Caenorhabditis elegans: one gene and its partner. Changing the gene in region 2 together with the main gene of any one other region gives a genetic interaction. Each region holds a gene or a part of one and is shown on either strand. Other genes may lie near its edges. The genes, in order: cam-1 and lin-3.

Region 1 (3,934 bases), on a different chromosome or scaffold from region 2:
TAAACCTAGAAACCAAAATAAAAATTCAAGATAAATTCAGCTAATTCAAGTTTAGGAATATTTCATTTCCGGGGAGGAGAAGTGCGGATTGACTGAACGATATTTAGGATTAAGCAGACTAAATCAAGCTAGTATTAAAATGCCTATTATAGATTAGTAATAAGACCTTAATATTGGAATCAAACTGTTTTCTAATCACTAAAAACCGTTCAAAAATGATTCGAAAGTTATAAATTAATTAGAAAAAGAAACTAATAAATAGTGATAAATTAACTTCTTTTTTACGATGTGTCATCATTACAAGGCCAATAAATTATAAATCGAGTAGTCCATCCGTCGGATGAATGTGCGGAGCGCGTTTGGCGGGGAGGGCCCATTCGACAGAATCCCCGAGAAATAGTATACTGATTCAATGAGACGCAGAGACACAGGGGATGACTGACAGTAGGAAAGAAGGCAGAGGTCAGTCCGTTTTGTCAGATATTAGGGAAAGAGAGAGAGAGAGGAGATGGTCACGGTTAGGGTGGGGGTGGTCCGTTGTATGGGTGAAAGAGGAGGAAGACGTCCGGGTGTTGGTGGATGTATATAGGTGTCAAGTGGATTATGCAATATGTAGAACAGAAGAGGTGGGAGAATGGTCATCCATTATATGGGCATGTCACTCCGTTTGTTTGAGGGAAATGAGCTTGTGTCAGTTAACCCAATTTCCGCATCCGGAATGACATTTTGATGCTCTATAGTGGTACAAAATATGGATGAAAAAATAATAATTGAAATTTCCAAAAGAATGGGTGCTAACGGAAAATTTTGGATCGTGATGTTATATCTAATTACCAAAATTCATCAAAAATGTGAGATATCGGCATTTGGCACCAAAATATTACACAACTTTTCTCTTAAAAATACAAAACTGGCGAAAAAATTTGTAACACTTGACTGAGACCATATCCAAGTATTGCTCGAAAAATGGAAAAAATTGAGCGAGTTTCAGCTTCTGCCCACGTTTTGCCTAAAAGCACTATATAAAGTTTGTCAATTTTTTTAACAAGTTAAAATAACTTAGGCAAAAATCGAGCCAAAAATTATTTTCATAACGATTTGATTTTTGATATTGACAAAGTATTAGCTACTTAAAATTCACAAAAATTTGAAATAAATCACTTTCGAAGTTGACCCCTTTAGCAATTAATTTAACTCAAAATCTAATAAAAATTGCGCTAAAACTAATCGCAAGTTGCAAACTTGTCAAAAAGATGAAAAATGGGAAGTCGACACGACGGAAGTTTTCAAGATTTTGAATGAAGATAATAAGTTGGGTGGAGGGAGAATTGCAGAAAAATTTCCCATTGAACATTATTTTTATAATCAAGATTCTAACGGTGAAGATCACATACTGCATAATACTCATCGGGCGAGCTTGATGAATGTGGGAACGGATGGCGGTAACCATATGGTTTTATTCAGAAATCAAGAAGTAATTGGGTTTATTTTAAATACATTTTTTGAAAATCTATATGAACTGATCTATATGAACATATATGAAAATCTATATGAACTGATTAAATGCTTTTAAAGTTTATATTTTATACGCCAAGAGGTGGACGCGCATTTTAGAGGTCGTTAAAAATTTTTGTAGTCAGCAAACTGTACATCTATAGACTCACTAGATTTAAGCATTTTGTGTTTTTGAGGCAATCTAATAAACTACTTGTATTTGACCCATATTCATTTAATCTGATAGTAAATAACCGAACCGTTTGTTGCCAAAATAGGCAGCTACAGTTTCTACCACCCGTATCTAATTACTATAATTATCGTATCAAAAGACAGTAATACTCACGATGCATTTCCGTAGTGAAGACCCTCATCGTCGGCTGGTTCTATCACGAGATCGTCGTCTTCTGGTCGGGGAGACATTTCTGGAATATTCAAGATTTAGGGTATAAAAATTAAAAAATGGAACGAGATGGTAATATACAGAGTTCAAAAATTTATTCGAATCGAGAATTTCAGCACCAGTAACATAAAAAAAGGTAATTCAAATATTACTTTAAAAAAACAGAAATTCATAAAGTTCAGTGAAGCAAAAGTTGAATTGAAGTATAAAGCTTAAGCCGGCTAAAAAAAAAGTTGAGAAATGGCAGGTGAGATTTCAGAAATCGCAGAATTTATCATGAGAATTTGAGAGGAAATTTAAGAAAAAGTATAGAATTTCAGTTTTCTTAAGTCATGAATTCGACAACTTTTCTCTCTTCTAATTCTGAATTCATTTCCAGAAGAGACGCAGGTCTTTTTCATTAGATGACAACTTTCAGGACCACCAATGAAACTTTTTTTCTCAAATCGAAATGAATTGAGGATGAAGTACAAAAAGAGACGGGAAAAAAGTCATTTTCATATTAGTAGTACACATTTTGATGCGCTTTTCCACTCATTTTGCATGTAAAATAAATGTGATGGATGACTGAGAAATGAGCAGGAGCACGAAGAGTTGTGAAGCAATGAGTTAGAAGAAAGAGTTGGTGATGAAAAATGGAAGAAAATTGAATGAAAAAGAGATTTAGAGAAGAAAAGATGAGCATTCTTTCATGCAATTTTAGTAATACACGGGTTTTCACACCTGTCTAATAAGGCTTATAAAGCAATTTGGAAAATAATTGAGTTTCCTGACACAGCTGGATATACACTAGATTGTCACTTATTTTAAAAGTAAGAAAGTGGAATTATGACGAAAGTTTGTCAAAAATTTAGGTGTTTCACCCATCAAAAAACTCAACTGTAAAATTTTTAAAATGGTGTTCTTAAAATGTTTAATTGCATGATTTTATTTCCAAATATTTTTTCTAATATTTCACTTTGTCATTTTAATACTAGAAACCAAATCCCAATTTATACTTGAAAATCAAGGTCCAAAACAAACTCCGGAAATAACGTGAGAAAACCAAATGATATGCTTCCTGTTGATGTTCTGAATGGAATTTCAAACGGGAATTCTGGGAGAGTCCCATTCGAAGAAGAACAGCTAAATTTCAGAGAAAACATTTATATATTGCACAAAATATGAGATCATGGATCTTCTAATTAAATTATTGAAAAATTGTCACATGTCCAGAAAGTCCAATGAACGTTCGTAAATTCATGGGCAGGTTTCCAAACCTTTCGACTATGTGAACAAATATTTTCAGGTCGATTAAAAAACTTTCAGAACGTGTAAATGATTACAATAATTTTATTAGAAATGATACGGTAGATATAAACAAATTGGCCAAAATGTATGTTCCTAAAACATGTGTGATCTGCAGTAGATATTTCGAAACCTTCAGCATGAGCTAATTTTGTATATGTTTCTCAAAATCCTAGATACACTGGAGCATTCATCCCTGAGAGCGTAAATCGGATAAAAAGAGAAACGCAAAATGATTATTATAGAATTTGAAAGTAAGTGCATGCTCCTGCTCGTGCTGCTTCAGAATTGTGTTCACCGAATGTAGAAGAGAGAAATTTCAAGAAGCGGGTCCTTGAGTGTGAAAATTTGTTTATGCTGCTGTTGGAAGCAGAGAAGAGGATTAGGCGTTGAGCACAAGGAGCTATGAGAGAAATAGACGATTATAATCAAAATGGACAACAAGTAGCCGTAGGAGAAGAAAATTGGAAATTGAGTTGAGTTGGTACGGAATTCTGTTGGTGGGAATTGTTTTTGAATAGGCATGCTGGAAATGTTGTAGTACTAAAAATATTCCCAAAAAACTAAAGTTTAGTCGCATTTCAATCACTCAGAAGCTTCTATGCTAAATAAAAATCTATGTGTGTCAAATTTTCAATACAATCTAAAAATTTATAGTATGGTACAGTTATCAAAAGAAAGTTTTGATAGGAGTCTATTAGATGTGAAAGTCCTAATAATCAAAATACGGGCAGATCGGGTTTTGAGTTG
Region 2 (3,934 bases):
TTCTGAATCTTAGACATATCCTCTGATATCCCACGTATTTCACGAAGGTCGATCTTCTTTTTCACCTTACTTCCTCTCCCGACTATTTGTTTGTTCTTCCTTCTTTTTTCCGACCTTCTCAATTGCGCAGTGCTTCTCTTTTTCCCGCTACCATTTCCTCCTGTTTCTCCTATTGTTTCCAATTTCTGAGCCAATGTGCTCTTACTGTTTCTATTTGTCTCCTCGCTTCTCTACAAACTTGCTGACTGGCTGACTCATAAAGTCTTAGAATCTTCTGAAAACTGGAATAGGAAGAACCAGAAGTAGTGTCAAAGTTGAAAAGATCCGATTTCATGTGAAAAAGGAATACGCCGTATTTCTGATACACTTTAATGTTTCCTCCAGTTTTCCCAAATAGTCTCGTTTTCATTCCTGATAAATAGGCAAAATGCAAACAGTGATTGCTCATCGAGTTGTTTTTTTATATTGGAATTCCCTAGATTCTGAAAATTGTTGCTAACACAAGAACATTTATCTCTCGAAATTGAGGAATTGTTTGCAAAGTGGACATTGATTAACATATTTTATAATTTATCTCAACTCATCCGTATCCATACTTCCATCAGATCCATGTTCGACATTTTCTTGTTTGTTCAGTGTTACAGTAACCTGGAAGATTCCGAAAATATTATAGGAACAAACAAAATTCCCAATTTTAAAATATACGTGGAATCGTTCCCCACGGCCAATTAGCACCGCCCACGAATCATGGGTCTCGTTAGGTATTTAGCGGAAAACCCGTAAATTCAGAGTTTTTAAATTACTTTTACCGATTTTGTCAATTTTTAAAAATTTATTTTACTTTCTTTGTATTGATTTTCATTTGGAAATTAATGAAATAAAGTTCATAAACAAATTTTTTTAAAACTTATTCACTTTTCAACATTACACGAATTTTCAAAAAATTATTTCGGCTTATAAATAATCAAAAACAACATAAAAAATAACAAAAATTGGCAAAACTAATTGAAAACGCTTGAATTTACGGATTTTCCACCAAATACCTAGCGAGACCCATGGGTTGTGGGCGGAGCGTTTCAACGTCGATTCTAAAATGACTGTCTTTCTGAATCCCCATAATAATAGAAAAGATTAAATTTAAAATATGTTGTAGTTATTTTTTCACCATCAAAATAGATCACTGCGCATCTTCTCTATTTGCTCTCTTCTCGAACCGCCCATCGTTGACTGACTCATGCCACTGAAAAGTACCACCAAGAAGCCACTGATTTTCCCAGGGTCAAAGCTAACCTCTTTTCGATTTCTTTTCATAACTTTTTTGTTTCGCAATAATTACTCTTCCGATCAACAGTTAGCTTCCCACTTCTCCCGATCTTTCTCTAACAGTTAGCTGATCTACTACTAGACTGTACGATTTTCTCTGTTTTCTCTGATGTTTCTTTGTTATTTTTTGCTCTCAGCTAACATTCCTTGTATAAAACTGTGATATTAATATCAGTTAAGAAATACAGTTAGTGCGGTAGCCAGAAAGTTCATGTGAATCATCATGGCCATCAGAGTCTCTGAGTTTTATAAATTTATATATTTTTGGGATATTTTTTGAAAGAAAGAATTACGGTAGCCGGAATCAATTTTCTTGAATTCCAAAGAGCGTGCACCTTTAAGGAGTACTGTAGTTACCAACCCTGTATTGTTGGGATATTTTTATCAGATTTTTCACAATTTTTACCTGTTTCTTTCATTAAAACCATCAATTTTTTTTGAAGAAATTCAACAATAAGGAGTTGGTAACTACAGTACTCCTTAAAGGTACACGCTCTTTGGAATTCAAGAAAATCGGCCGGTTCGAGACCGGGTACCGTAAAAAAATTTCGCATTCTTTGCACAATATTTCCTTATGTTTCTCTTTAAAAATTTAAAAAATTCCCAATTTTTTTAAATTTTAATTTTCAGAATAACGGATCGTCGGCTTGTCGGTGTTCTTCCCACCCCTTATGCATCAATTTTTCCTGTTTCATAAGGTATTTCAATTAAATTTCTCAACAATTATCCAAAAAAAAAAATTATTTCAGATATCGTCGCCCACAAGTTTCCAAAATGCGGAAAATGCTACTTTTTTGCATCCTTCTACTCTTTATGCCTCAATTTACAGGTAATTTTTCATTTAAAAAAAATGATGTTCTACTTGGAATTGAACGTCACACCTCTTAAAACATATTGAACGGATCGAATGATATTTGACACTACAACCACATGTGTGTTCGTGTTCTACACATTTTTTGTCTAGTGCACTAAACATTGTCATATGGAATAAAAATCGCCACAAACGACTATGAGAAAAGATTGGTTCAGGAGCAGGGAATTTTTTTTCGAAAACGAAAATGAAAAATTTAGTTTGAAACGATATTTTGACCGAAATCGCACTATTTATGTTCACAATTTCCAGTGTGATTCTTTGGAAAGTTGTAAAATTTAAACATTTATAATTTTTCAGTATATCAGCATTTTTCGCTTAATTTTTTTTCCAAAAAATCGAAAAATAAATTTTCCACCAAATACACGAAAAATCTACAGCCCTGTTCAGGCATTTTCTCGATTTTTGCTCTAAAAATACGGTACTGGGTCTCGACACGAAAAGTTTTTATTAAATGCATGTGCGCCTTTAAAGAGTACTGTAATTTCAAACTCCCGTTTTTGCCGAATTTTTAAAACTGGTTTCCGATAAAAAATTGTCTGTTTATTCAAAAACAACTATAAAAGCACACCAATTTTAACAAATCGTAAGAAAAACTTTAAAAAATTGATTAAATTTCCGCAGCAACGAAATTTTGTAATTACAGTACTCTTCAAAGGCGCTCATCTATTTACATTAAATAAATATTGTCGTGTCGAGACCACGGACCGTATTTTTGGGGCGAAAATTGCAAAATTTTGCGTCTGGCGAATAGCCGTATTTTGTGATAATTTCCGTTTACCCGGTTGCAAATTGAAGAGGTCATACAGCAATGCACAGTAGGTGATCGTAAATATTCAAGTACCCGCCAACACCGCCAAAATGTTGTATGCACCCCCTCATAAACACCCTTGACAATACTACCATCGGTATTTATTTCACCTATATTGGCAGCAATCTACGAGTTTACCACCAACTATGTACATACCAGTTATTACATATTCGAATTTAAATGGTCCCTTGAATGGTTTGTCATTAATTATTGTAGATTTTTAAAGAAATCAGGCAATTTGATAAATTGACAAAAAAATGTAGATGTCGAGAACAATAATCACAATACAAATTCAAAAAAAGACTAACAACCAATCTACAGTAGTCTAGAAACAAAGAAATAAAATCGTACTTTTTTTATTCTTCAAGTTTCTTTCCGTGGATCCTTGAGCTTCTGTACTTTCAAAATTCTAGAACTTCCCGTCTCTCCCTATTCAATGCACCTGTGTATTTTATGCTGGTTTTTTCTTGTGACCCTGAAAACTGTACACACAGGTGTTCTTACCAATGTCTCAGGCATTTTTGGAAAAGTAATATTAAGAAAATTATACATATTTTCTTGAATACGAAAAATTTAAATGTTCGGTAAATCGATTCCTGAACGACTTCTAGTCGCATTTGGTATGTCTATAATATCAAAACAAAGATTATTATTTTCCATTCAAATATCAATAAAAGTTTCAGAATCGTGTCTCCCTTCGTGGTTTCGTCAAGAACGTAGTGCTCCCGAACAGCTTCAATCTGCAGAGAATGCAGCTGAAAATAGTGGCTCTGTACCACCCGATACTTCTCGAAATTCTCTAGAAACAAACGAAATAGGTGATGCACCGTCGTCGACTTCGACACCTGAAACACCTACTGAAACTACGATTTCCGAAGCTGGAGACGATGAAAAACGAACTGAAGAGGTTGCAAAAGAATTAAGTAATA

Evidence for each region.
Region 1: of lin-3 (region 2) and cam-1, changing one suppresses a phenotype caused by changing the other (phenotypic suppression), as found in Caenorhabditis elegans (one study listed by BioGRID).

What each region holds. Positions count from the first base shown.
Region 1 is NC_003280.10:9,308,385-9,312,318, forward strand, and holds the start of cam-1 (Tyrosine-protein kinase receptor cam-1), read right to left. Parts: upstream 1,921-3,934; 5' UTR 1,918-1,920; coding exon 1,841-1,917; intron 1-1,840.
Region 2 is NC_003282.8:11,055,717-11,059,650, forward strand, and holds the start of lin-3 (Protein lin-3), read left to right. Parts: upstream 1-2,097; coding exon 2,098-2,152; intron 2,153-3,582; coding exon of another isoform or gene 3,583-3,625; intron 3,626-3,682; coding exon of another isoform or gene 3,683-3,688; coding exon 3,689-3,928; intron 3,929-3,934.